Canis lupus familiaris: one gene and its partners. The protein of the gene in region 5 interacts with the protein of the main gene of each other region in a biochemical or structural test. Links are inferred from orthologs where the notes say so. Each region holds a gene or a part of one and is shown on either strand. Other genes may lie near its edges.

Region 1 (5,695 bases), on a different chromosome or scaffold from region 5:
CCCTGGACCTTGGCGAGCCTTGACACTAGCCATGCCTGCTGCCCATCATGCTGCCCCCAGCTCTGGGATGCTCAGAAGTGGCTCTGGCCCAAGACCAGGTCAGGGGGATAGGGTCCCAAGGGATGAGGGACAGGGGGTCGGTCACTCACGTGTTGTTGACAATCTGGAGCCGCTCCCCTTTCTTGAAGGACAGATCGGTCTCTGTCCGAGACTCATAGTCATAGAGGGCCACAAAGGTGGTCACTCCACCTGCAGAGAGAGGTGGGAAGTGTCAGAATGGCCAGGGTCATCGCTCAAAAGAGGGGTGGACAGGAGGGCCCTGGGCAGAATAGAGGCTGGTCTCCCACAGCCGCACAGCCCAGCCCAGAGCCGTGGCCACCTTTACAGGGGCTGGCCCAGCAGTGAGTGTGTCCACCTGTGTGCATGTGTCTGGGTACCCCTGTGAGGGTGTGTAGGAGGCGTGTGCGTCTCTTCACATCTGAGCGTGCCCACTGGGCTCTGGGTGATCCTGACTTCTGGCTTCTGTTTAGTGCCCATCCTCCACACAGACCCAGAAGCCCCCAGCAACAGGCTTCTTAGCACACAGTAGGTGCTCGAGAAGCGACTGGGGGTGAATGAGCCAGTGAATGAAGGAAACTGCACCCGGTTGGGCTGTTCTGTTTCTGTGTCTGTGTGACTGGGTGTATTGGGGGAGAGCTCAGTTCCAGGTACTGTGCCCTCAAAGAGATCCCTCTGTCCCCCATTTTAACCACAACCTTCACCCCATACCCCCCAAGACCCCCCCTGCCCTTTTTGCTCCTTCAACGGCAGCACCGCCTTCGAGCAGCCTACACATTTTACGAGCCTTGCTCTGTTTTTCTCCCCCATGCTCTGCATACTGCTGTGTCCCCAGCACCAGAAGAGTCCTGGCTCACAGTACGGGCATCACAAATGAATGGGTGTGTTTGTGGGTCTGTGTCTCACTCGGGTATGTGTCTGTATCTAAGGCATCCGTGAGTGTCCCTGTGTGTCCGTGCGTCTGTGTGTTCTCACTGTGTGTATGTACATCTGTGAACCTGTGGGTATCCGTGATGGTGCTCCTAGCTGAACCTGTCCGTACCCTGTGTGTGTCTTTGAGGGGCTTCTGACTGCCTGTGTGTGTGTCTTCATCTGGGAGTACGAGGTTATCTGTGCGTGTGTGTCTGTGTTTGCGTACATCTGCCTGGTTGCATGTCTGTGCCCGTCCATGTGTCCCTAAGTGGGTCTCTATGTCCACAGTGTATCTATGAGTATCTCATCTTTGATGGTGTCTCCAGCTCATCTCGTTCAAGGGTCTGCATAGGTATCTTAGGAGCTGCTGTGTGTGTGGCCCTGAGTGTGTCGAGGGAAGAATGCACGTGTTTGTGTGAGTGTCTTCCAGCTGTGTGTCTCTGAGACCACGTTGGCATCTTTCCGTGAGCATCCCCGGCCTGGGACTGCCATACCGCGAAGCGCCAGCAGAGGGCGCAGGGGCGCATCGCGGCGCTGGGCCAGGCCCCTGAGAACCAGAGAGCTGCCTCCTGCCCTCCCTTGCCCCCTCTGCCACCCAAGGCCTCCCGACCTGACCCATCGCTGGGCTGCCCAGAGCAAAAAGCAACGCCTCAAACCCAGTCCTCATGCTGCCCTGAGCCAACAGCCCCCGGGGCCCCCTGCACCTCGGTTCCCCTCTGCAGGCCCATATCTCTAGACCCTGTTACTGTCCACTTTGGATTTGCTCTCAAAGGCAGTGGGATTTGCACCACACTGTCCAGTTTATAAAGCTCTTCCCCACCCACAGTCTCCAGGAAACCCCCAACAGTCCCCAAGCCCAAGACACCCACAGCCCTGCTGCGAGAGAGGCCCGGCCCGCAGGCACCCACGCTCCCAAAGCCCACTGACCAGCCAGCGGCCCCGCCCGCTGCGGGGAGGTGACCGTGTCCGAGGAGTTGAAGCCCCCAAACAGCTTGGGCTCAGCAGCTGCGGAAGGGAAGGCTGTACTGGGGCCTCGGTGGCCATCAGCGGAGGCTGGCTTGCTGGGTGTCTGTGAGGTGGGGAAGGCACCCCCGCCGCCACCGTGGGTGTTCTCAGCTGGCTCTAGGCTGCGGCGCCGTTGGCTGGCATCCTTGGGCTTGCTCTTGTTGCTGCCCATGGTCCTGGCTGGAGATGAGAAAGCACACTGGGTGAAGGACTCTGGGAGCAGGCAGGGCTGCTGGGCCCGGGCCCTTTAGACAGCCTCCACCCCCACCCACCATTCTACAGACGAGGACACCGAGGCCCAAAGAAGGGCACCAGCCTCTTTTGGATAAGTTAGACTTTCAGAGCCTCAGTTTTTTAACCTGTAAAATGGGGATAATAATGGGACCCATAAATGGCTTCCTTGGGACAAAGCCAGGCACAGAAGCAATGACTCATAATCAGAAGCCCTAACCTCCCTCACTTCCCCCTGAGTCAGTTTCTGTCGGTCATGGGCAGGGACAGTATCTGAGTCATGGCCATATCCCAGGCATACAACACATAGGAGAGGGCTCACTGAGGGCTTGCTGAGCAATTACATGACTGACTGAGATGGTCTCACACCAGAGTGAAAGGTGCTAATAGTTGCAGCCAAGACAGGGATACAGAGGAAGCTGGAAGGAGAGATGTCTGGGAGCTCACCCAGCCACAGGGCCTTTGCACATGCTGTTCCCTCTGCCTGAATGCTCTTCCCTGACCACTTCACCAGAATAACTCATGCCTCCTTCAGTTCTCAACTCAAAAGTCACCTCATGGGGAGGTGTTCCCCAAATCCTTTCTGGTTTAAGTACCCCCTTACTTTTGTACCTCTCTTGATAACACGTGGCCCAGAAAAAAAAAAAAAAACAAACTGAAAACTCTCCAGTGATGCCCATAGCCCCGCCACCCCCTTTTGCCTCCTACCTCCCACTCCACAGATCCTGGTTGGTCCCAGCTTCCAACAAATGTGGCCAGGGTCTTCCCACCCATCACGGCCACCCCTCCCTATGCCCCCCATCTTGGCAGCCCTGATGGGCCATCACCTCACCTGGGGGAAGGCAGGGGCTGTCCCAGAAGGTCTGGGAAGCAGCCTGAGGTCTCAGCACGAACACCAGGTCAGGGGTCTTGAACTAGAGGCCCTGCTCCACGTCTCCCTGCTATGTGACCCTAAGCAACTGACTTCCCCTCTTTGGGCCTCAACGTCTTCATCTGCAAAACAGGGAGAAGGCAGACCTCTCAGGCTGTTGTATGGATATGATTAGAAAGAGAAATCACCATGGCCCTGAGTCTTGGGTCCCAGTTTACCAGGCTCTGACTCTGACAGTTCCAATGCTAAGAGCTTCCCAGACCTTCCCTTCCATCAACCTTCCCAAAGCATTTTATGAGCATGAGCAAGGCAGGGTATGACGCAGCGGTTAAGAGTGGGCTCTGGAGCCAAACTCCCCGAACTCAGATCCCACCTTTACCCTCATCGGCCATATCACCTCAGGGTAATGACCTAACCTCTCTGTGCCCTATTTCTTCATCTGGAAATGATGGGGTCATCAGGGTCCATGGTAAGTGAACGAGGCAAGTATGTTCTTGCTGGGAATGAGGCAGGTCATCCCACCACATCCGCTATGACTGATACTGTGTGATTCTGGATATACCGGCAAGGTAGGTTTGGGATATTCTCCAGGGAATGCTGCAGGCCCTGGAATCAGTCCAGAACTTCCTCTGGGAACCCATGGATGGGGAAAAGTGTTCTTGACTGGTTGAGGCCTTAGGCAAGACTACCGGCCCTGAGCCCCAAGCCCAGCTCTGCAAGCTCTCCTCCTGCAGGAACTTTAGCCAGTTCCTGCACCCCTGAACCCCTCAGGCTGACGGACTGCACAATGTGGGCGTGGCCTGCATGCTCCCTGGGGACCATCCAGCTCAGAGAATGGGCTGGGGAGGCCCTGAGGAGACCTGCTCAACAGCCCAAGGGATCACCAGGGCCTCCTGAGGGACAGGCCAACAAGCCTGGAGACAAAGAAGACCAAGTTCCATGGCAACCCAATCCACCGGGGTCATATCAGCACTCATATTGTTGGTGTCCCGTGGGTCCTACTGACCCAGTTCCCCGCGGCTCCAGGCTGCACCTGCTACGCAATGGCTCCCTGGTACAGCATTCACAGCACTGACTGTGCAGCAGAAGCTACGCTAGTCCATGGAAGGACACAGGGACGAATTGCCCGGGCCTCGTGTCAGGGGACACATGCTTTAGCAGGACACTCATTTGTGGGACTTTCGGAGGAAACTAAAACTATAAAAAATATTTTTTAAGGATGATTTAAAAAAAATTTTTAAATGGAGAACTTTCTAAGGGCCTGAACTTTCTTTATTTTCCTTTTTAAGATTTTATTTATGGAGCACCTGGGTGGCTCTGTGGTTGAGTGTCTGTCTTTGGCTCAGGTCGTGATCCCAGGGTCCTGGAATCAAGTCCCGCATCTTCCCCTTCTGCCTATGTCTCTGCCTCTCTCTGTGTCTCTCATGAATAAATAAATAAAATCTTTAAAAAAAAAAAAAGAAAGATATTATTTATTTATTTATTTGAGAGAGACAGCACAAGTTGGGGGTCAGGCAGAGGGAGAGGGAGAAGCAGACTCCCCACTGAGCAAAAGCCCAACGTGGGACTCAATCCCAGGACCTCAGAATCATGACCTGAGCCAAAGGTAGATGGTTAACTGACTGAGCCACCCAGGCATGCTGAATTTTCTTTAGATTGAACTAAATGATGCAGAGGGAGCTCCCTGTCACTGGAGGTAATAATCAAGGACAGGAGAAAGAGTCATTGGGTGGTGTGCTATAGAGAAAAGAGGGAGAGTCAGGCCTGGATCTTGAGCACCGTCCCAGCTCCTAGAAAATGCATGTGCCCTTTTTGGTGGGGGTGAGGGAAAAAAAGACAGCTCTTGCTCCCAAACTCTTACACTGACCCAGACTCCCCAGCAGGGCACTCAGCAAAAGCACAAGAGAGCCTTCAAGACCCAGCCAAGGTGGTCTGGTCTCCTGTTGCAATGTTTGTTGGTTGGAGGAGTTTCTGTTCTGTTTGTTTTGTTGGTCTTTGCGGTTAAAACCAATTACGTACGTAACACGTGTTTGTGGAAAGGCAGGGGTGTGGAGGTGAAGAGCTAGAGTACTAGAGTGTTTGAACCCCAGCCCTACCACCCCATCATGGGACTCTGCCTCAGTTTCCTCCTCTGTCAGTCGGGGAGACCGGCACTGATCATCTAGTGCCTTTGACCAAGCCCCCTGCAGGCAGGACTGGATCATATCCATCTCCACCACCCCAGTGGCCAGGACAGGCCTGGCACCTACTACTACTTATTGCTCTGGAAATATCTGCAGAATAGACAAGAGACTAAATGAGCACAGATATGAATTGCATCCTGCTTTGTTCCCCCAACGCCATGCTGTGGAGACCAAGTATCATTCTGGATATTCAAACACTCCCAGGGCCTCGACCTTATACAGGCCCTGCTCTAAGCTGTTTGAAAATTCTCATTCGTCAAATTCTCATGATAATCTGGAAGGTAGATACTAGTAGTGTTCCTGTTTTACCAATAAGGAAACTGAGGCCCAATGGGGTTGAGGAACTTGTCTGAGGTCACACAGCGAGGGTGAGAGAGGACAGGGAACCCCACTGAGCAGGTGCAGGTATCAGGGGCTGCTCATGGGGTCTGCTGGG
Region 2 (5,695 bases), on a different chromosome or scaffold from region 5:
TATGGATGCAAGTAACTTCTTTCACACTGGTTTTATCCCTGAGGTAGCAAATGAGGGACACTCAGGCAGTACTGGTTAGCTGCACAGCATACTGGTGTGGTTGTATTTTTAACTGGATCTGAATACATTAAGGCCGAACATGGGCACCTCAGTCTCCTACCCTAGCATTCCCTAATGCCGTAACACCTGGCTAACCTGGGAATCTTTTTGATAAACCTATTTGTTTTTTAATGAACTGAATTACTAATATACTTTAGTTTTTAACTGACCCAGTATCTGTAGGTCTATAACAATAAAATTAAGCTTTACTAAGAAATACAGGGTCTTAGGGAATTTTTTAATATATAACCATTTCTATTAATTTATAAATAGTGATTTTTTGGTAGTCCCACTGAATGAAGTATAGTATTAAATCCATGTGTTTTATTCCTAGTGAAGCCCCAAGAACATTCACTCTACAGTCCATTTACTTATTTAACCTGGTCAGATCTGGGTCATCTATCTTGTTTCAAGTACAGCTAAGTACTGCAGTAAAGAGATGAACCAGCTAAAGGGATAATGGAAAAACAAGACATACTAAAAAATAACACAAGAAGCACAAAAGCTACCATAGTAAGTACTTGATATAAACCATTTGGTGTAAAAATAAGTGGTTATAATCAATAATTTGCTTATGAAAGTAGACAAAAATAGGCAGCTTTTTGCTTTTTTTTTTTTTTAAGTGGAGCCCAATGTGGGGCCTGAACTCCTAGCCTGAGATCAAGAGTCAGAAGCTTAAATGAGTTAACTCTCACTATGTTAACTATAGGTCTCAAAGTACTTTAAAAATTATATACATACCCCAAGTTCATCTAAAAACATGATCATACGATGTTTGTTACTTTTGATAAATGGATTGACACCCTCCATATAGGGCTCCTAAAAATAGAACAAAAAGCTTACTGTATGCATCAAAACCAAATGTGTAGCAAGAATTCTTATGTATCTGATTATGTACATCAACAGCAGTACATGTTCACAAGAATTAACTTTTCCTTCTAATAAAAGCTATACCAAGGAACTAGAGTATTTTAGTGAAAGAGTAAGAAATTCTGGATAAAAATAAAACCCAGAGCACCACCCCAAGTGATCAAAAATCCATAAATAACTTGACCCCCCAAAACGTGACTGATAACCTAAAGTTAATTGACACATATTTTGTATGTTACATATATTCTATTGTGTATTATTACAATACAGTAAGGTAGAGAAAAGAAAATACTAAAATAAAATACATTAAAACCATGAATAAGTGGACCCGTGCAGTTTGAACCTGTGTGTCAGAGGTCAACTGTAATTCATTCAAAAATAATTATTGAGAAACTATTATTTGCCAACTGCCAAGATCAACATGGGCCCAACCCAGAGCTTAGAATCTAGCAGAGAATATAATTAAAATACAGTGTGCTAAAGACTGCAACAGGAATAGGTAATAGAACCTTTCTCACTATTCAGATAAATTCAGAAGCTAAGCCATACAATAAACTGCTCTTCATACTAACAACATATTAAGCTTATTTAAAAATGTGCTATGATGTAAAACAGAAAATGTTTAGTATTAACAGAAGCTCTTTTAAAGTCAATACACAGAAGATGATAAAGACCTCATCAGTCAATTCCAATGAAACAGACGTGAAAAATCAAAGTAACATTATTCCATCAGGTTGGCAAAAAATAAACAATACTGAATTTTGGCAAGGCTCTGGAAAGCAAAAAATCTTACTTAGGAATTTTCCTCCAAACTAAGTTTAAGGAAATAACTGGAAAACTTTGAAAGGAAATCTATATGGATACTTGTAACAGTGACAAGTTGGAAGCCATCTAAATGTTAAGTAAAAGACTACTTAACAGCTATATGATGATGTAATGATTGTTATGTTTCCGGGTATGGCAAGAAGTTTGTTAAATACTGACAAAATCAGGCCACATGGTACAACCACTACTAGATTATTAACAATCCTTATCCTTATGTAGGATCACATATAAATGTTTTAAGACCTCATCTGAGTTATTTACAGTAAATGTTTATGGTGAAAATAAATAATAGGTACATTTAAAAATATGCTTACTTTTATATTTAAGAGTAGGAAAATATGAATATATTGGAAATAGAAAATGTAATTTTCTGTATACTTGCTAAAACAGTGGTTTTTAAAATTTCATTAAAATATACATTTAAAATATACATTACTAAAATATAGTAACATTTTTAAAAAGACATACATACCAACAAAAATGTAATAGTCTTTATGCAAGAGACACTACTGAAAACTTTATATTCTATGGTTTTATCATCTCAAGGTTTCATTTGTGATTTATCAAAATGTTTTTACCTTAGCTCCAAATTCCACAAGATTTGCTAAGTTCTGCACAGATTTAGCCACTAATATCAGTGTTCTTGCAGCAATAGGAGATGGGGAATCTATAAAAGAAAAATTGGGCACAGGTAATGACACAGACTCCAAAGGCATTTTCAGGGAAAGCAGTATAAAGTTTAACACTTAAACATTTTTTTCCTGCTAAAAATACTGACATTCTTGGAAATGACATGACCTGTGTAATTCACAAGAAAACCTGAATTAAAGGGGGGGGAGTTAAATACATTTATTAATACTTCTAGTTTGTGAAAAGTTGCTGCTACAAGACTCAGCAATTCTCAGCTGGTTGATATTTCCCTTAAAGCTTTATCTTTATTGCTAAAAACACTGTCACTCCACACACCTGCTTCATGATAATTCACAGCTAATTCCAACCCCTTCAGGTTAGCAATTTGCAATCTGAGCAATTCCCTATTACCAACCTCCAAATGACTACAAAATCACTTTAGAGCTCAATAACAAAGATAAAATCTGGGACTTCTGCTATATATTGAAGAGAAAAAAAATAGTATCAACCGTAAAGATTAGTCCGGAAACATTTCCCTAGAGAATATACATAGTATGGTGTAAATGAAATCCATCTGTAGTGATTAACATATAAGCCCTGAAACATAACAGAATTATGTAACTAAAAATGTATAGGTAGGTCTATCTGACTGCCTGATTTTAGATTAATCTTAAGCTGAACTGTAAATGAGTATTGCCTAGTGGTTTGGAGGCCAACATTCAGATAAACTAATCTCTCCAACAGAATGCTAAACCCGTAATTCTTAATAGAACCATGGTTTTAACCATTTTAATAGCAATAGAAGATAATGACAAGAGATGTGATGACTATAATAAGGTAAAACTTAAGATGCAGTCCAAAGTATTTTTGAACACAACTTTGAGCTTCTAATTACTAAAAGAAAAATGGTTCCGGTTCCTTCTGTTTTTAATGGCTCATTATTACATTTGTAGTCACAAATAACACTGTTCACCTTTCTTTGAAAGAAACTTATGGCATCTGAAAGTCCTTGTATAATGGACATATGGGCAGTAAGCAAACTAAATCTGGTTTGTTGGAGTTTAACATTATCTAACTGGTCACAAACTTCTGTATCTCTCAAGGGCCACTGTCAAGTATTCACAGAGTACTACTGCAACTGTAGTTATCTTTTTGACTTTAAAATACAGCTTGCAATGGTAGTGACAGGGTCTGGCATGGGCTAAGAGAACACAGAATCCTCTTCCCAATTGAAAAAGCCAAGTTGCAGAGTGGAAAAAAATCATCATAATGAGAGTTGGAGACACAGGTGGGAATGGGGAAAAAGTGATACGTGTCTAATCAAGCCACCTCAGGTTTCAGATACTAGATGGAAAGAAAAGCAGCAAAATGCAGAAGGTAAAGTAGCAAAAGGAAAGAAGGAGATAAGGATGCGTTGGAATGTTTTATATCAAGTCTTAGAACTGGAGAATAATAAAAAATCAGATGAAAAAGAAAAAATGAATAACCTTACCAAATAATATGAAATTTTATTCTAATTTTTTTAATTCCAAAATTTTATCAAAAGCTGATTACCTGAGATGATATTAAACATCCGTGGATTCAGGATGGCAGGACAGATAAGTCGAAGAAAAACAAAACCACTGAATGGGAGGGAAATTTTTTCTTTTTAGAAAACTACTATATATGTTACATAAAAATAATAAACAAAAATTTTAATACTTGTAGAACCATGAGCTTTGAACTGATGTAAAAAGCCCAAACAAAGTTTTAAGAAAATAGCTTAAGTATCTTACTTAAGGTATGTGTATCTCTGCTTCTTACACTATTTACTTTTCCCAAATTTGGAATTTTCAGTTTATTTTGGGAAGATGTAAGTTACATCTGTAACATTTACTGTCTTGACAACTCCTTATTTATTCCAGTATACTTACTCTGAGGAAGCAGTAGCTTTAGGAACACTAAGATTTTCTGAAATACTATAGGAGTATGAATTAATCCTTTTTATAGAGACAGGCCTATATGGTGCTAAAACTCTCATTCTCTCACTTCTTTCTTTCCTTATTTAAATAGAATAGCCAAATAAAATCTGTATAAATCAAGTTGATTATAACTGATTTTGCTGGTGAATCCTAAAAATAAGAATCCATTCTAGTAGAGAAAAGTGACTTCTTGATAAATGGAAATGTATACAATAGAATGCTATAAATATAAAGCTTTTATTAAAAAGACCTCACTTTTCACCTTCTCCATTACAGAGAGGATAAGTCAACTTTATGACATTTACTTTCCAACCTAATGACAGCTTACTACTTTTTGGACTCTTAGAAAATGATTGTTACTTCTCAGATACCATTTATTGCAATTATAATACACAATTATCAGCTCTTTAAATATTTTTTTAAACTAATTTATGAAGAATCTTGCACAAATTTGCTTGAAAACATTTTGATACTTGTTTGAATTTGAACCATAACCTATAATTTAATCATGAAAGAATTTCAGTATACAAATCTATTTTCTGTGAATTTGTAAAGGTGATTTTAAATTTAAAAGGAATACTAGATACATACATATATATTTAAAGGCTTGTTAGTAGGGACAGAAATCATCACCTTGGGCATCAATACCCCTTAAAAACCCTATCGTGTCAGACGATTCACACAGCAGAAATTCCTGCTGTGTTTGCTTAACAATTATATTTGTTTGAAACAGTTTACAGAGGCTTTAATTTACATCACACACAAAACTGTGCTGAAACTTATGCCACTAGTGAAAAAATAGAGAATCTGTCATTCGTTCTTATGTCATATCATTACTAACCAAGAGAAATATTCTCTACGAAAGTAGAAGCCTCTTTACAAAACTTTGGTTGAGGGCAGGATTAACACTTTTTTTTTCAAAACTAAATGTATGCTATTGGTGTCTTCAGTGGTTGTCTAGTTTTTGTTTTTTTGTTTTTTTTTAATGGGATATAACATGACAGCAGGATGTATTCTACTGAATCTATTATTAGTAGACCCCTATATTCTCTGATGCTTTGACACTGATTTCCAGTGGTCTTCAGTGGGCCGGGTGTACCTATCAAAAGCCTACAATGGTGTCAGAGATCTGACTGGATCTTAGAAGGCTGGCCTTTAGTTCTGCCTTAGTACGACCCCTTTCTATATAAAGTTAAGCAAACAATTTTAACTTCTACAGATCTGCTTCCTCATCAGAAAAAGTTAAAATAGTGATATCAAAGTGTGTCCCGCTGCCGTACAGGAGGTACAACATCCTGTGACTTGCCCAA
Region 3 (5,695 bases), on a different chromosome or scaffold from region 5:
GAGACAAGGCACAGGGCGTGTGGACCACAGTGAGAGAGGGGCACTTCGGGCACCGGGGCAGAGGGTGCCAGGATGGGTTCCCAGGTGTAGGGAAAGAGCACACCTGTGCACAGACTAGTGCTTCCAGCCAGTGGCATCCAGGCCATCCTTCCTCCCCATTTCATTGATGCTGTGATAGCCTGACAGGTAGCACAGCCCCTGGACTCCTCTTCCTTCCCAACACCAGGCGTGGGCCCTGCGGTGGCAAAGCCCACTCACTCCCAGGGCTGCTGGCAAATCAGTGTCAAGGGCACAAGAAGGACCCAAGGCCAGACCAGGGACACCCCTTCTGGAAGACCAAGGAAGAGGTGGGATGTTGGTTTTATGCTATAATTTTGCCACTGTTCCATCCTGTAAAACCCACCATGGGGCTACTGGTCCCCCTTCGGGGAAACAAGGACCCTCACCTCCCCAAATGAATGCCACGGCTCTGAACAACAGGGTAAAATTATAGACCAAAGCAATCTGCCCGAGTTCTTAATGTTGTAAACATTTATTTAAAAAATACTACGGAGAGATGTGGATTCAAAAAACAGAGTCATATACAGAAAAAAAAATGTACTGGACCAAAAAAAAAAAAAAAAAAAAAAAAAAAAGGCCCCATAGTTGAGAAGGGAGAATAGTGGAAAACTATTTACATGTCATTTATAAAAGAGCAAGTCTACAAAAGAGTGTAATACCAAGATATAAATGCAAAATATAGTGGCACATCATGTGAACAGAGAGAAACCAGTACCTCATAGAAGGGCAGTTGGTGGGAACCTGGGTGGGGTCTGTTTTACTTTGTCTGCAAGGCCGCTGGTGATGTTTGAGCACCTCCCTCAGTCTGCCTAACAGAAGCAGCCTGGGGGGGCGGGGGGGCGGGGGGGGAAGAGGTGATGCACTGTGAGGACAGCGTAAATTGATCCAGAGGAAACCATCTCTACCAGAGAAACAAAATACAAGTTTAGGCAAGGAGCATTAAAAACGGGGCCTGTGTGCGGTCATGGCATGAGAAGGTGTGGGGGTGGAAGGTGGTTGTCTTGGTTTCTCCAAGGGCTGCTCCCAGGCTTGGCATGAGGCCCAGGAAGGTGCCTGTCTGCTCTTCAGTAGCTGCTCTAGGTCAAGGTCAAGATGGTCCGGGGCCGCCTGGGGAGAGACCAATGCCTGCTCTTTGAGACACTTTCTGGAGCTTCACTTGATTATGGTCTTCTTCATCCCTGATAACCCCAACAGAAACAGGGGACTCCATGCTGCTCACGGTCATTTAATAGGACGTCTGCCCCTTAGTGCACGGCCAACAGTGGCTGAGGCTTTGGATCCACAGTCCTCATCCTCCCGTGCTCTGGTGGCAGATGGCAGGTCCTACTGTACCGAGGGTGGCTGGGCTGAGGGCGGAGCCATGAAATGCTTCAAGAACTCCAGAAAACTAAGGACTGGCTTGTCACACAGGAAAGAGTTTTGCATCAATCTACTCTGTCTCAGAGGAGTGCAAGGGAGGAGGAGGAGGTCGGTCAGAAATCAAGACCAAGTGGCTTTTCTGAGTACCTGGAAATCTGAAAGGAAGGTGACCTGGGCCCGTGGCAGACCTGCCCTAGGCCCAGCCCTAGGCCACCAGCTGTTCACCCAGGGAGCACCCCCCCTCCAACTCCCCTGTTCTTTGACTGCAACCCCTCCTACCCTTAAGACTCAAGCTTTCTATCCAGGATGAGCAGTGCATGTCACAAGACAGCAAGGAGCTGAAAGAACAGATAACAAGGACAACCTCCCACCCCAAAGGCCTCTTCAGCTCCCCCACCTGTCCTAGGACCCAAAGGCTGGTTGGTTTTAGCACCCTGTTTTAACCCCCAAATCAAGAGCTGTCCTTCATATGAGGAAGTGTGAGGGCACCAGCCCCCGGCAGCAATGGAAGGCAGAGTGACAGCATTTCCCAGGATATAGTTCTGGAAACATGTCTTCAGTGCAGGAGGCACCAGAAGAGGAGTGCAGGCTGCCTCCATGCGGTAAGTGGAAGGGATAGTTCCTAGGCCTTGATGACAAGGCTCCTGTGCAGGGCACTCGCTCTTGGGGGGAAGTGGAGGAGATGGCATGGCCAGAAGAAGGCCTCTGGAAACAAGAGAGAAAAGGAAATGCTCATCCGCTTTCCCACCTGGCCTGAAGAGCTCAGTTCTGGAGCACGGCATGGGGAAGAGGCTGGCGGGCCAACTGGAGTCCACAGAGCAGGAACCCCACAGATAGAACTCAGGACAGAGGTGGTTCAGGGAGCCTGGGCTGGGGACAGGAAAAGTGCAGAAAAACAGCTGGCGCAAAATGTTAGGTAGTAGGGCTGTGCTCCACAGTGACCCTCTCAGCTCCTTTCACATGGAGCTCCCCGGCCAACGTCCCAACTCTCTGGTCTGTGTCAGCCACTGTGGCAGGCATGGGGCAGCCTCACACACTGTAGGCGGCTCCAGCTGGCCTGATGCCTGGCTTCTGCTACCTCTGCACGATGTCACTGATCTCCTTCACGGAGCTGAGGAGTTTGCTGAAGTCCTGAGTGGCCGCCGGGCCACTCCCTGCTGTCGCCGGGCAGATCTGAAGTTCCCGGAGATTATTCTCCAGTTTGTTGATGGCCTCACGGAAGGCGAATTTGTTCCTCATTTGCTGGATAGAATCCACGTAGCTCACACAGAATGTGTAGAGATTCTTGCCGGCTTCAAGTACAGCGCTGTGGCTGGCCATCTGCTCGGAGTTCTTAGAGATGGCGAGGCACAGAGCCTCCGTGCCATCCAGGACCACACCCTTGGTGATGGTGCCACTGGCGATCCGCTCAGGAGGCTGGCGGGTTTTCCGAAGAGACACACGGGTTGATATGAGAGGGATGAAGGCAGTGGAGGCTGGCTGGTCCACAGCCAGGGCAGAGGATGCGGATGACAGCGTGGAAGGGGCGGAAGCCGGGCTGGCTGGGGTCCCCGCCGGCTTGCCGGACGACTGCGGCTTTGGCATGGATGGGAGCACGGGCTTTTTGACGCCTTCTCCCAGCAGACCGGGCTTGACGGTGTCACTGTTCACAGCATCCACAACCACTGCTGCGGCTTTGGCTTTCCCACCAGTGCTGGCCTCCCCAGCTGCTTCCTGGCTCAGGCTCTGAGAAGGCTTCCCGGCTTTCCCAATGGAAGCTGGTAGTGGGGGCGGTGGGACAGGTTTGAGCTTGGACAGTTTCCCCTTGTCTCTCCCTGGGGACTCGGAGGAGGGCTTGTGCCTCCTGGCTCTGGGCTCCTCTGCGGGGGCCTTGCTGGCCCCTCCGGACATCCCTGGCCCTCCTCTGCTGGCAGGGGTCCCCAGCTCAGCTGTGGTAGGGGTCCCCAAGGCACTGGACTTCCCGGCCTCGTCTTTGTGGGGAAGGCTGGAGGAAGGAGCCCCCGACACCTGCTTGCGGAGGAGTTTTGGAGTCAGACTGGGAGGGCTGGAGCCTGGACTGGACTCCCCCATGTCTCGAAAGACCTCATCTGCTGCGTCCTCAGTCTTTTTCACCAGCCGGGGTGGGGGGGTCACTGTGCCTCTGGTCACCTGGTCAGACCTATTCTCACTCGCCCGTTTCCGAGGCAGAGCTGGCTTCTCGCTCTTGTGCCCTCCAAATGTGGACGAGTCGAACTGCCTCCCTGTGGACTGCAGATCCCGAGGCAGCGTGACAGACCTCCACTCTGTGTCCTTGGCCCCGTGGGGCACACATGAGGCCGAGCAGGACCTCAGGAAGCGCTTGCTGGAGCTGCCGCCACTCTCCTCCTCATTGGCGGTCAGGCGGCTACTGGTCAGTGTACTGGACTTTTTCCACAGGTGGGGAGACCGGAAGCCTGGTCCCCCCGACTCCCGGAAGGCTCCATTCGGGACACCCGCCCCGCTGCTGGGCTTTGGGGACTTGGCTGGCTCGGCTGCGTCCAGGGTGGTGAGGGCTGGCACCCCATTGCTGGTTTCTCGGCCCTCCTCCTCAACGGCTGCCTTGCGCTCGGGCTGGCCGTCCATCTCCCGGAAGGAGCTGCTGCGTTTTGGGGGTGTTGGGGCCGTTTTCTTCTTCTTTTTGATCAAGGCACTGAACAAGTTGGTCTTTTTGTCTTTGGGGAGAAGGCGCTCATCTTCATTTAGGCTGCTGTCTTGGGGACCCCGTTCTTTTCGAGGGAGCAGTGGAGACACAGGAGGCTCGTGATCCAGGGGATCTGAAACACAATGGGAAGACTTTTAACATCTCCAGACCAAAGGCTCCTTTGTGGGGGGAACCTGGGGCTGGCCCCTGTCCTCTACAGAGGAGCAGCCCAGGGTCAGGGCTCTGGCAGGCCTACCTGTAAGCACCAGCTCTGCCACTCCCAACTGTGGCCTGTGAGTGTCCTCAGCTCTCTCATCTATGAACCGGAGACCACCACCTACCCATAGCATTGTGTGAACGTCATGCAGTGAGCATACAGCGTTTGTCCCAGCTATCAGTACATAATTTCTCACGGACTGTTAATACTTCTAGGAAAGGGGGATCCCTGGGTGGCGCAGCGGTTTGGCGCCTGCCTTTGGCCCAGGGCGCGATCCTGGAGACCTGGGATCGAATCCCACGTCGGGCTCCTGGTGCATGGAGCCTGCTTCTCCCTCTGCCTGTGTCTCTGCCTCTCTCTCTCTCTCTGTGTGACTATCATAAATAAATAAAAAATTAAAAAAAAAAATACTTCTAGGAAAGGTACAGGACAGCAGCACAGAAAGCCTGGGCAACCCAGCCCCTCATCCCTGTACTGAGGCTTCCTTGACAGCACAGAGCCCTCCAATACCACTATCTGGAGTGTAAAAACCACCACAGGGCTGAGCAAAGGGTCAGGCCCTGTGCCTTTCGGGCCTGCCAATTGAGATTCCTAGGAGGTAAGGTCCAAAGGGAAGGGGTTGTGCACCACAGTGACAATAGGCTATTATGCTTGGCAAACAAGAAAGAGTGACCTTTACAAATTTTTAAATGGGCATTCTTTATGTATGAATAATAGCTCCTAAGAAATCTTTCTGGTGTTGCCAAGCTCCCGGCTTAGTGAATGATAGACTTCTCCCTCAGAGGGCAGCTGTGAGGAGAGTAGTTTTCTATCAGCACCCAGAGCAGCCTAGGGCATGTCTACACCCGGAGCAGAGGTACAATGGGGCATCTATCAGAACATCAGACAGCATGCAGGCCACCTGACTCAGGGGAAGCTGAGGACCTCCAAAACTTTAATCCAGGAGAAAAAGTTGAAGAACGCGAAATTCTAATGAATTATGCACGGCTCTATTTCAGCGCTGAACAGCTAATTGACACTCTGGGCTCACCATGAGATTACGTATCAAAATGAATACTGACGGGCATAAATGAACATGATTGCTTATCACTGGGCTTTTAATCAGCCTGAGGTTCCCACAGGGGCCTCTCCCCATCCCCACTGCTCAACTACCTGAAATCATGACAACGAACAGAAGGACAAAGGTCTGAGCTTCTGGAGACTATATGCCATGGACTCCACAAAGTGAGTGAGCAAGACGATCCAGGGGGCTATAAAAGGAAGCCCTATAATTTGGATTTACTTCTTAATGTAAATCTTCTAGGTATACATTTTTGGTATGTTTTATAATACACATGTCTGTGCAATAGTACGTATGTATACATAGTCTGCACATGTGACTTTTTTCTATTATGGGTGCA
Region 4 (5,633 bases), on a different chromosome or scaffold from region 5:
GCTCTCCATTTTCCTCTCTGCCACAATGGGAGCTTGCTCCTGGGTCTTGCTGGCAGTGGAGGCGGCTTTGTTGGGAACATCACCTCATCATGCTGCCCCAGAGCCCAGCACCTCCACTGATGGCATCTATGTCCTGGGGCAGATTCTTAAGATGTAGAAAGTCACTACTGGTTGGGATGCTTGGGGGGTCAACGGTTGAGTGTCTACCTTTGGCTCAGGTCATGATCCCGGGGTCCTGGGATCAAGTCCCGCATCGGGCTCCCCACAGGGAGCCTGCTTCTCCCTCTGCCTGTGTCTCTGCTTCTCTCTGTGTCTCTCATGAGTAAATAAATAAAATATTTAAATTAAAAAAAAAAAAAGTAAGTCACTGATTGCCCTTCATTCAATTTTTTACCTAACTCCAATTAGTTATGTATACTAGGGGCAGGGTCACTCAGCCCAAACATGGGGCTGGTTGGGGACACCCCCAAACGTGTCTGCCTAAGTGGGGAGGAGGCACTAGTGTAGAAGGGTCCAGACTTCTTTCTCTTCAGTAAGGCATATTCGATCCCTGGGGGAAGAGAAATTGACAGCTGCAAGGCACAGCCCCTAATCCTAAAAAGGTAAACTCTTATGTTACAGAATTAGAATTTTTAATTAAAAGACAACTCATGTTTCTTATAAATATATATCTTTATATATTATATATATTTACAATATATACAGCATACAAATATTTTTTAACGTAATACTCATGGCAGTCTTGAAAACAGATGTTTTCAAAACAAAGGATGAGTTCTTATCCAAGGTGGGTTCCTGATTCACCCAGAACCCACATTCTAGACAATGCCTCAGGCCCAGATTTCTGTAGAAGTCGAAGGAAAGAGAAAGGCTGGTGGAATAAGATTCTAATTCCCTTTTCCTTCCCAAATAGCCTGACCTTCCAGTGTACCGGTGTACCAGCTAACGTGGCCCTCCATACACCCCTAAAATGGGCAAAGCGTGGGGCCCGGGCATAGTACCTAGCACACGGTGGGCACTCAAGTACTTGTGGGATGGATAAAAGCGAGTGTTCTTAATCACCCTCCCTAGGCAGCATTTCCATAGTTGGAAGGATTCAGTCCCAGAGCTCCCATTTGGGCTAGAAGCAAATGCTTTAGGTGTTTCCACTTTGTAAGTAAAACCATCTACATGTCCAAGTACTAAATAAATTAAAAGTTAGCCACAAAGGGCCATCTCTTCCTCATGCTTCGGAAGCTGGACGCCACGGATCACAACACCACTCATCGTCCAAAAGTTTCTTCGCACTCGACTAGTTCATCTATCGTGCGCAGCAAATCTTCAAAGGAAGGCCTTCCCTCTGGTTTCTACAATTAAAAATCAAAGAGAAGCTGTGGGTTCCAGAATTCATCCCCCAAATAATTTCTCACTGCTCAAACTCACGTCACATAGCACACATTGCTTCGGGTCTAGAGCACTCAGGTGTCTCCAAATGGGTCTACTCTACCCCGCACATACTGTGGCGAGTGGCGAGACGAACCTTTCTATACGCTGCTTGTGGGTCTCCGTTCAAGGTCTGACAGAGCTCCTTACTGCCTGCAACACCAAGACCTGCTGACCTGCAGCGCCCCCTATAACTTGTCCCTCCTGCACCCTCTTGCTGCCCAATTTCATTTCCCACGAGAACCCTCATGTGGGCTCTCTGCTCACTCAGACCAATCTGTACACACCCTGCACTCACTACCACCATCTGACCTTTGCTCCCACCGTCCTCTCCCACCCCCAGCAACACTTCCTGCTCAGGTCTCTCCATCCCAATCAGTGTTCTTTGGAGACATTATAGCAAGAGTTCAAGAGCATGGGCTCTGCTTCTCTATAGCAAAGTGGCCTTGGGCAAGGGTCAGCTTCAGAAGCCCTGGTCTTCTCATCCACAAAGTGGTCACAGTAAAAATCTCTGCACCTCAAAAGGTTCTTCTGAGAATGAAATCTAAAGCACGTAGTACAGTGCCTAGCACACAATACATGTGAGCTGATATTATATAATCTTTCCAAAATCATTTTGGTGTCTCATCTATGAGGTGACGTTTCAAAACACCAGGAAGGAAAACTTCCAAAGGCTGTGAGGAAAGAGACCTGGGGGAAGTCGACGTTTGGTGAAAGAAACCCTCTCTGGTTGAAGAGTTTTATACTTCAAAAATCCAAGCAGTCCGGTGAAAGAAGAGCTACTTCTCCGGACTTATTCCCTGAGTCCCTAACTCGGGCAACTGTGACAGGATTTCCACTTGGGCGTGGGGAATTGTTGACTGAATGTCCACAGTTGACTGAATTTATGATCTTAATTATTATCGTTTTCCACTTCTTCACCACCTTCTTCTCGTTATTCAGAACTGACTTGAGAGGATTGGCTTTCGACCTAGAGTTTGAAACCATATACACCACGTACTAACTCACCAGGCTGCAAAGACTATACACTCTTAATCCACCAAGCCCAGATCCCTAAATGTTTTAGAGATTCAGAAAGAAAGCACAAAAATTTTTCTACCTCCTGCCAACATCTCAGCATCACCTCGTATACATATTTGGACGCCAGCTTCGGCCTGTAGAGTCGGTGGCCCCGGGTAACCATGGTTACCACTTCATAGTTGGTGTTTTTCTCAAAGGGCATCTTGCCTTCAGTGAATATTTCCCACATTAAAACACCTAGGAAAGGATAAGGATTACAAAGGATGCATCCACTGTCTCATCCGAGGAGAGCTGAGGAAAAATGAACCGTGTTCTTACCAAATGACCAGACGTCCGATTTGCTACTAAAGCGGCTGTAATTAAACACCTCGGGTGGACACCACTTCACTGGAAATTTTGCACCAGAAGAACTTGTGTATTGATCATCCAGGACATACCTAAAGTAAGACAAACCATAGGCTTACGCCTCTGAGTTACGAATTACATGTTGTACACGTTCTTTACATTTTTTTGTTCCTCTTAGAATCAAAAACACAGTTGACTGAAGTCCAAGAAGCATCCGGTTGAAGCTAAATGTTTGCCTCAGTGGCCACGCCTGGTGATTTCCATCTTCCTCTCAACCTCACTTATGTCTTGAGATGGGTGCCCTGTAACATCAGAATCTACACTTTCATTTTTCTGTGCGTTTTTCTTTTTTATAAGGCGATAGGGGCAGAACACATTTAAAGAGTTAGCAAAGTTTTTTGTTTTTTTTGGGGGGGAGGGGTTAAGCAATTTTGTTCTTTAAACAGAATTTAACCCAAAGGCCCCACATGTAAAACATCTAAAGCGGAGCTGCTCTAAAGGAAGTGGTGCAGGGCGTTTGGAGACACACGTGCTTTGGGCCCCCACGATTCCACAGAGTACAATTTACACCTACTGCAAATGAAAAAAGCAAATTGCAAAATGACATATGTCAATGGTGGCGTATATATTTATATACCATGACATCCCTCCCACACACGCACGCACACTCACACACTCACACTCTCACATACACTTTCAAAACAATACTCTGTGATCTTTGCTATGCAAGCACACTTACATCTTTCTGGAAGGACACACGCCACCTGCAAACTTCAGCTACCTCTGGGCAAGACCCGTGAGCAGGTGGGAGATACGGAGAACTCAGCCCTTCCTGTGATGTGCTCAGTATGTATTCACAAGAGGAATGCGTTTACGTAGGATTGGAATGTGTAAAGCTAATTTCTAAAACCTCCGTGAGAAAACATTCAAATAATGGCACAAACTTCCTTTGCTGCATGGTAACCAAGCTGCCACGAGTTGGCTTAACTTGCCTGTCTGTCGGGGTGGGGGGCGGTTCTGAATTTAATGTCTAACGAGTGTTTTAGAGGGTCTGGTGCAAAAGCACACATTTTCTGAAAGCCAAACACATAAAAAAAAAAAAAAAAATCAAACGTGAAACTAGAGGACTGTCAGGAGCTAAACGTGGCCTGTGTGTCCTGGGGCCGACGTGCCTGGCCCTGGACCAGCAGCCCTGGCCCTCTCTCAGCTCCTTGAGTAGGCCACGCGGGCCCCAGATTTTAAGCTTTTATACTCGCTGTTTCCTCCACCTGGAAGAGTTTATCCTCAGATCTCCACCTAACTGGCTACTTCTGTCTTTTCGGTCTCTCTTCAAGCATCCCAGTCTCGAAGGGCCTCCCAGAGCTCCAGATCTGAAGCAGCTGCCACTACCCCACCCTGCACCATTGCTCAGCACTGCACCCCCCCAGCCCCATGTGCCCCCTACCTTAGGGGTGAGAGCATTTTTTCTGTAAAGGGCCAGATGATGAATATTCCCTATTTCTCGGGCCATACAGTCTCTGTCACCGCTATCCAACTCTGCCTTTGTCGTGTGAAAGCAGCCACAGACAATACCCAACGAGCGGGGCTGGGTCCCAATAACATCTTATTTATGGACACTGACACCTGAATGTCATATGATTTTCAATGTATCCAAAAATTCTTTTCATTGTTGCTGACCATTTAAAAATTGGCAAACCACTGTTCGCTCACAAGCTGACAACAACAAAAAAAAAGGTGTTGGGTCACAACCTGGGCCAGAGGCCTTGGTACACTGACCCCGCACCGGCACATCACTGTGTTTTTCCTCTCTTGGCCATCTCTCAGATCTTCTGTCTCTCTTTCTCCTCCTGAATATGAGCTGCATAGGGGCAGGGGCTCATATGCCTTATTCTCTGCTATGGGTCAGCCTAACACCTGGGTACATGGTAGGCACCTGATGTTCTTACAGAGGGATGTAGGGATGAGTGAATAGAGAGGAGGGAAAGGACAAACAATACTTTCTAAAGGTCTCTTCTAACACTCTTTTAAAAAATGACAAAAATTAAGAGAATGAAAACACAACAGACTTGGGGATTCTAAGGACGTTTACCTCTTAACACATTTCTGTGAAAAAAGACTAGGAACCCAACTCAGGTCAGGGAGAAATGAAAGTAGTATATTTACCAGGCTCTGCTACCACCTAGTGGAGAAAATTACTAACATCGCAATGTATATACGCCTTTTTTTTTTAAACAAATTTATGTATCTCACAGCAGCTAAGATTTCCTTGCTACTTCATCAGTGCAGATTACCCCCCGGGTTTATTAATTCTACAAGCTAATGTGACTATTACCGGACGCCACATAATAAAGCATAAACAGTTATTATTTCTCAACAATTTGTTTACCTGAGAAGCAGCCCATGGTAACAGTCAAAACGGATACATTCAGCAAAGAAATTTTTCAAAATACAGATAATCTAATTTATTTTATTGCCCTACATCAAAAACACACGAAGAAGCAGAAAAGTCAATTAGTTTTCCCATGAAAATGACGGATCCTACAAATATTTTGCTAACAGAACAAAAGATGTGGTTTAAAAACAGCTCTTCGGCAGCCCTCAGAGAAAGAAGCTGACACAGTCAAACTCCCAAAAAAAAAAAAAAAAAAAAAGGTCAGGCTTTCTGTGCCTTCAAAGGTACGTATTAATTTAATCCAAAATTGACAGAAAATATTCACATAGACTCAGCCTTACCTGGCCATTCCAAAATCTGACACTTTCACAACTCCTGCCTCATTTACTAGACAATTTCTGGCAGCCTGGAAAGTAACATTTCAATGGTGTATTAGTTACAAAGCTTTACAGGG
Region 5 (6,365 bases):
GCCTTCCTCAGAAGCCTTCTTCTGGCCTTCCAAGGAGGGAGTGGCAGAGGAGAAGGAGGAGGAGTACCTCTCCGGGCTCTAGGTCCCCAGCACCAGAGCCCCGCTGCCCTGCTCAACCATATCCATACTAAGGCTCACACAACGAATAGTTTTTTTGTGGTCAGACTGGCCTTCTGTCCACTTGAGCCTCTGTGACCTCCAGGTGACTGGGAAACAGAGCCTTCCCCTCCTGTCTTCTGTGCCACTACTGCCCCACTGCTCAGGCCTGGAAGAGACACACCTGAACTTTTTCCTTTTCCAGGCAGGAGCTCATTTTCATTTTCTTTTGGATCATTTGATACCACTAACACAGATGAAGATTAAATACCCAGTAAGTCTCTACCATTGTTAGGAGCATTCCTAACCCCAAATTTCTCCTTGTAGTTCCCTGTAAGCAGGTAGATGAGGTTAGGTCACCTTGGGAAAACCAGACCTCAGGAGACAAGGATCAGATTTTCAGAGCTCATGAAAAATAAGTATGACCAAAATCTAAGCCTCCAAAGCCTGTGCTCCTCCCAGTATACCCACCACATAGCAGTTCCCTTCAACCCTCAAACAGAAAGATGGTTGATGCTTAGTACCTACAGGTAAAGTGTGTGTGTGCTGGGGCAAGTGGTATCATATAGCTGAGAAAAAGACCTATTGCCTTCCTGTTCCCCTCTGTCCATGCCTGTCTACCTTTCTGTTGGCCCTCTCCATCCATGGAATAACTACCATGTATAAAATGCTTAATCTTGTGCTTCAGACTGCATTAAGTACTTGAGAAACTTAACTCCTTTCATACAAATAGCCCTGTGAAGTAGAGTCTGTTGTTGGGTTTTTCCTATTTTACAGAGGGGCACCGAGGGCAAATGAGAGTTGCAGATGTTTTAGAGCTCGCCCAGCATCACAGAGACAGTCTCAAGCCCAAGTGGGCCTCACTGGACCACCGAGGCTCTCAACAATCACACTGCTCAGCTCACCTCCCTGAGACTCCTTCCTCTTTATGTGGCCCCCAGTACATTCTCCTGACCCCTCCACACCAACCCAGCACACCCTGCCACCATGTCCCATCTGTGACTATTCACACACATAGACCTTTTAAACCCAAGCTGACTTTAATGAGAATAAACTTCTTAAAATCTGTCTCTGGCAAAGAACAAAACAGGGGTGACGATCCAGGCACAGTCCAGCATCACCCTGTAGCCTCCATTCAGCCCCCTCAAACTGTACCAACCCAGACAAAGCCCCCATTGTCATAGACCTGGTCCAGCAGCTGTCCATTCCTTTGGGGAGGATGACTTGGGGGTGCTGGTCTCTCTCAGGCCCCATCCTTCACCTCTGCCATCTGTCCCACTTCCAGGACTTCTTGAGATTGATCATCCTTCCCCTGACTCCCCTGATCCCTCTGGTCCCCTGGGCTGGCTTACAGGGGACCCTCCAGCCCTCTGGTTCCTGCAGGCTCTAATACGTTTCTTTGATCCCCAGTACCACCTCCCTGTGGGGGTCCTATCAGCAACCCCCGCCTCACCCTACCTCTCACGTGGAGCCTTCTGCCTGGACTCCAGTCCTGTTAGCCCCTGCTCTAGACAGCTCACAGTCCCAGCTTCCTGAGGCACTGCTCTTCTGGACCTGGCTGTACAAGGCAGTGTCTGCGCTGTGGCCCTTGCTGCCATTGCCCATTGCAGCTCCAGGTTCAGAGAGGGCTAAGCCCCGGGGCTTAGGACCTGGGAGAGGCTTTGTGCTCCGAGGAGGTGGCACCTCGTAGTCATCAGTGGCAGGGTTGTAGGGGAGCTCATAACCCTCCTCCTTCACCCGAGCCTGGCACCACCATGCATCCTTGGGCTCCTGAGGCAGATCATAAAGGCCCCGGAGAGCAGCTGGGGCCAAGCCCTCAGGTTCATCATAGATGGGGTCCTCTTTGGGGTCCGTCAGCTTGGCCTTCAGCAACTGCTGCTGCACGTGCTGGTACAAGTCCCAATAAAGAGGTTTCTTCAACTGTACTCCCTCCCCTGCCTGAGCAGCAGTACTGTCCAAGGGGTCTGAGTACAGGGAATCCTGGGAAGGGCCTGGAGGAATGCGCAGAGAGTCTAAGGGTTCAGCATACAGGGCAGGAGGGCTGCCCAGGAGCTCCTGAGGGCCAGGCGGGGATGCCAGCGTCCCCTCTGCCACTTCTCCTTCGTGGGAGTCGGCTTTCAGACTCTCCTGCCCTTGACCTTCCTTTCCCTGGACCTTCTGCCGATGAATAGCAGTCTCAACTGCCTGAAAGATGTCATTCCCCTGTGCTGTCTGGAAGGTAAAGGTTCCAGGGCCTGAAGGGCAGCGGCGACCAGCCTCAAAAGAGAACATGACCTGAAGAAGGTGTGGAGGAAAACACATTACCAGGAGCCAGGAGAGGAGATGAGTCACAGGGCTTGTCCTAGTTACAGAGGATCTACAAAGAAAAAACTATTTGCGGGGGGGGGGGGGGGGGGGGGGGGCGCACAGGCAGAGGTCACAGGCTAGGCAAGGAAGGGTTACCGGGAGGACAGAACTCGCCATCTTCTTGTCCTGCCCCACCCCACCCACCCATCCCACAGTTATCCCGACCTGGGATGCCCATTCTCCCCGACAGCCCCCTGCACCTTGTCCCGGCCATAGCGGCGCAACAGAGTGTAAGGCCAGAAAAGGAGTGGCTCCAGTATCTGAGTCTGCGCCCCGACGGTCAGGAGAGTCAGCTTCTCAGCCTCCACTCTCAGCACATAGGAGCCATGCAGGCCACAGCGCTCAGCGGCTTCTGTCCTCTGCACTGTTACCCAGAACTGGGATCCTGTAAAGAATACACAATTAGATGGGCACCCAACAGACTGCTGGGTGAGAGGGCTGGGGAGGTGGGGACGGGTTGTCCAAGCACTCACTTGGAAACCAGCTTCAGGGGCTTCCTATTCCCCATGGGTCCCTGACCCTTTAACCACTCTCTTCTCAAGGCACCCGTCCTTTCCACCCCATCCCTCCGCAGGCTTCTCAGGCATCTACCTTCCCAGGTGGGACTATACAGCGAGTTCTCCAGCATCTCCAGGGCAGAAAGCTTGGGTGGGTTTTCCGCAGGCGCCAGAGCCCAGCTGCCTTTCTGGGGTAAAGAGAGGGAGTATCGAGATCCCTGCAATTCCCTCACCGCTGTTCCCGGGGTCCGAGCCAGCCGCGGCCCTCGGCTCCTGTAACCGCCCCCACCCCCGTCGCCTCTTGGGTCCACGGCGTTTCGCCCCAGCCCCCTCACCGGAAAGGCGTTTCGGCACAGGGTCTGCACCCAGGCGGCGCTGGACGGCGCGTCGGCCGCCAGCAGGTGGGAGCGCTGCGCGGTGTCCAGGCGGAAAGCCGCGGCGCCAGGCTCGGGGGGGCTGTCCACGGCCACAGGGACCACGCTCACACACTCCGCCAGGCGGATCACCTTGCAGTCCAGGCGGCGCGAGCCCCCTCGGCCCCCTCCATTGTTCGACCCCTTGTGGTCAAAAAACTCGAGGCGCGCCACGCCGTGGGGACTGGCAGGATAGAGCACAGCCCAGGTCTTCCTCCACCTCTGGGAAGAGAGAGCGAGAGACGCTGGCGAGGGAGCGGGCGAGCACCGGCGGCCCGGCCCCGACGGGACAGGAGACCCGCGCAGGCCGACTGCAGGTCTGCAGCTTCCCCACCGGGGCGCAGTTTCCCGAGAAGGAAGCCGCTCCGTCCGCCCAGAACCGGGGGGTGGGGGGGTACCCCGAGGCCAGCGGACGCTTCTCCCGGGTGGGAAATCAACTCCGCGGGAACGTCACGGGGTCTACAGCTCCCGCCCCGCGCTCCAACCCGCTGCCGCCCCCGCGGGCTCCACAGCCCCCTCCTAGGTCTGCAGGCGCGCGGCGACCCCTGCCCCGGGCTACCTTGGTACCGAAACGCTGACTTTGCAAAAACAGCGGCCCTTCCATCACGGCCCCGTCCATGGCCCCCGGCGGTTCCTTCCGCGCTTCCTGGCCCCGCGGGCTAGAGGCGGGGCGGGGCGGGGCCGGGCCTCCCGGGGCGTTCCGCCCCTCCCCCGGCCTCCGCGGGCCGCCGAGCGGGAGCGAGCAGAGCAGCCTGAGGGAAGGCGCGGGGGTCCGTAGACGGGGTGGGCCGCGCGCCACCTTCAGACCCCGGCCCACCGGCCCGAGGCCCGCACAAGTGCTCCGCCAAGGGAAGCCTCGAGGCTTCGGCCACGGGGCTCTGGCGCCCGGGCTTACGGGCCGGGTAGGATGTCATATGCTCAACGTGACATCAGAGTGAAGGCCGTGACGTCACCCCGAAAATGCCAGTGGGCACCCTGGGGCACCGAAGGGCTGAGGCGGGCCTTCTTCGCCTCAGTTCGCCTGACCGGATCCGCCCCCAGCCCGGCTGGAGTCCGGCTGTTTACACTCCGCGGAGCCCGGGACGTGGGGGAAGGGCTGGGGACTGGGGACTGGAAGGCTTCCCGGAGCCCCGAGCTGAGCCGCGGCCTCCCGCCGCCCCAGGGGCCGCCGCCCGGGCCGGTCCGCGGCCCCGTGGCCTCTTGCGTGTCCAGCTCCGTGACCGCAGCCGCGCGGCCTCCAGCCCGCGGGAAAAGAAAGCTTCATTGAGCAGGCCGGGAGGAGGGGCGGGGGCGGGGGCGGGGGGAGGTGGGGCGGCCGCGGCCAGCTCCACGGGGGAGGGGAGGACCAAAAGGAGAAGAGGAGGGAACTGGCCGGGGAGGAATCGAGGAGGAAGGCGGAATGTGGGAGGGCTCAAGGAGACGTGGGAGGGACAAAAGGAGAGGGGGGAGGAAGGGGGGGTCCAGTCTCCCCTGGCCGAGCACTTTTTTTGGGAAGTCCTAGGACTGATCTCCAGGACCTGGACTCTTCTCCCAGCACCTAGGGCCCCGCTCAGCCAAAGGTAGGGCGAGTCACGCTGCTGCGGCAGAAAGGGGAGTTTCGGATGGCGAGGATGGTGAAGGGACCACGGAAAAGGGGTGATGCAGGATGGGGTCGAAGGGAAACCAACCAACAGAGGGCTTTTAGCATTGTTAGCGTGAGACACAGTAGAGTGGAGAGAGGAGGCAGATATTTGGCGGGTGGGGGGCTGCAGGGTGTTCCAAATAGGGCTGCTGCCAGGGCCCTAAGGCTAGAGGCTCCTCTGTGAGGACCTACCCCTGGGCCCCCAAGCCAGAATGTCCCCAGAACAAAGCTGTCCTGTTGTGTTGTTTGTTTGAGTTGGGGAAAGCATGTTCCAGGGGCCCCTTGCTGGAGAGGGGCTGTTCTCAGCCCCAGACAGAGGGAAGGCCTTGGCTGAGGAGCTCATTGGCACCCTGGCCTCCGGTTGCCCTGAGACAGCACTGTTGGCAGGAGGTCTGGACAACCCCACCCCGCTCTCCCTCCCAGCCTGAGGCCTGGCCCTCCTGGGCCCCTTGACCCTGCAGGGTATGTGAGAGCCTATGTGCTGATAGGGTGTGCAGGGGGTTCTCCACGCATCCTGGTCTCTGCCCTCTGCGGTGGAATCTACCCACACAGGACTCTGAGCTTGACTTCCCATCAGGGAACCGAAGATCTGAGGGTCTCCTAAGCCCCCTCGCCTGCTTCTCTCCACAACCAGTAGCTATCTGCCCTCTGTCTGACTGGCTGAATGGGGTCGTCTGGGTCCCTCCCACAACCCCTCCTTGGCTCCAGCCAGTCCCTCTCCTCACCTGTTGCCCGAGTCTGACCATTGCTGTGTGCCGCTGGCCATCTCACGGTCACCTTCTGTCCATCTTCCACACTGTCGCTCTCTGCCATCTCTCTCTGTTCAGTCCTCTTTCGTTCCCACAGTAGTTTCCTTTCCTCTCACATCCTGTCTGGGTCTCCCTCTTGCCCAGTCTTTATCTCTTTCTCTCAACCATTCTCTGCCTCTTGGTCTCTAATCACTGTCTTGATTTCTGGGTCCCTTAGACTAGTGGGTGGGGTAAATGGAGGTGATGGGGAAGGGCCTTGTAAGACCGAACAACTGCTGGTGAGGGAGAGCTGCTCTGTCTCTGTGTCTGTGCCTCTCTCCTCCCTGCCCTGCTTTCCAGTCTGAGCTCTCGGACTCTGTGTTTCTGCTCTTATGTAGTTTGTATTTCTTTCTCACTTAGTTCCTGGGTCCCTGTCTTTCTCTCACACTGTCTCTGTCTCTGTCCTTTGGCGTCCCTCTTCCCCTCTTGATCTCTCTGTGGGACCCACGCCTGGCTTGATCTCAGTTTCTCTTACACACTCTCTCTCTGGGGCACCCAGGCCTTCCCTGCCATGCGACCTGTCAGTATCCGGCAGTGGAGCCCATGGGGGCTGCTACTGTGCCTGCTGTGCAGCTCCTGCCTGGGATCTCCATCCCCAACCACT

The links.
Region 1: the proteins of DOK1 (region 5) and SRC form a complex in vitro, tested with the Homo sapiens proteins (2 studies listed by BioGRID, with this or other methods). The link is inferred for Canis lupus familiaris from reciprocal best matches to the Homo sapiens genes DOK1 and SRC.
Region 2: the proteins of DOK1 (region 5) and RASA1 form a complex in vitro, tested with the Homo sapiens proteins (2 studies listed by BioGRID, with this or other methods). The link is inferred for Canis lupus familiaris from reciprocal best matches to the Homo sapiens genes DOK1 and RASA1.
Region 3: the proteins of DOK1 (region 5) and ABL1 form a complex in vitro, tested with the Homo sapiens proteins (5 studies listed by BioGRID, with this or other methods). The link is inferred for Canis lupus familiaris from reciprocal best matches to the Homo sapiens genes DOK1 and ABL1.
Region 4: of the proteins of DOK1 (region 5) and TEC, one has a biochemical effect on the other in vitro, tested with the Homo sapiens proteins (2 studies listed by BioGRID, with this or other methods). The link is inferred for Canis lupus familiaris from reciprocal best matches to the Homo sapiens genes DOK1 and TEC.

The regions. Positions count from the first base shown.
Region 1 is NC_049245.1:26,564,671-26,570,365, reverse strand, and holds part of SRC (proto-oncogene tyrosine-protein kinase Src), read right to left. Parts: intron 3,199-5,695; 5' UTR 3,038-3,198; intron 2,155-3,037; 5' UTR 2,147-2,154; coding exon 1,897-2,146; intron 250-1,896; coding exon 150-249; intron 1-149. UniProt on the Homo sapiens protein: Non-receptor protein tyrosine kinase which is activated following engagement of many different classes of cellular receptors including immune response receptors, integrins and other adhesion receptors, receptor protein tyrosine kinases, G protein-coupled receptors as well as cytokine receptors.
Region 2 is NC_049224.1:21,205,267-21,210,961, forward strand, and holds part of RASA1 (ras GTPase-activating protein 1), read right to left. Parts: intron 4,047-5,695; coding exon 3,979-4,046; intron 2,462-3,978; coding exon 2,373-2,461; intron 919-2,372; coding exon 841-918; intron 1-840. UniProt on the Homo sapiens protein: Inhibitory regulator of the Ras-cyclic AMP pathway. Stimulates the GTPase of normal but not oncogenic Ras p21; this stimulation may be further increased in the presence of NCK1.
Region 3 is NC_049230.1:53,209,582-53,215,276, forward strand, and holds the end of ABL1 (tyrosine-protein kinase ABL1), read right to left. Parts: intron 4,212-5,695; coding exon 2,494-4,211; 3' UTR 517-2,493; downstream 1-516. UniProt on the Homo sapiens protein: Non-receptor tyrosine-protein kinase that plays a role in many key processes linked to cell growth and survival such as cytoskeleton remodeling in response to extracellular stimuli, cell motility and adhesion, receptor endocytosis, autophagy, DNA damage response and apoptosis.
Region 4 is NC_049234.1:44,670,445-44,676,077, forward strand, and holds the end of TEC (tyrosine-protein kinase Tec), read right to left. Parts: intron 5,586-5,633; coding exon 5,521-5,585; intron 2,880-5,520; coding exon 2,761-2,879; intron 2,680-2,760; coding exon 2,522-2,679; intron 1,347-2,521; coding exon 1,263-1,346; downstream 1-1,262.
Region 5 is NC_049238.1:49,088,466-49,094,830, forward strand, and holds DOK1 (docking protein 1), read right to left. Parts: upstream 4,073-6,365; 5' UTR 3,972-4,072; coding exon 3,912-3,971; intron 3,670-3,911; exon of another isoform or gene 3,575-3,669; coding exon 3,275-3,574; intron 3,128-3,274; coding exon 3,034-3,127; intron 2,828-3,033; coding exon 2,643-2,827; intron 2,371-2,642; coding exon 1,558-2,370; 3' UTR 1,114-1,557; downstream 1-1,113. Other genes in the region: M1AP (meiosis 1 arrest protein), read left to right, coding at 1-82; LOXL3 (lysyl oxidase homolog 3), read left to right, coding at 6,273-6,365. UniProt on the Homo sapiens protein: DOK proteins are enzymatically inert adaptor or scaffolding proteins. They provide a docking platform for the assembly of multimolecular signaling complexes. DOK1 appears to be a negative regulator of the insulin signaling pathway.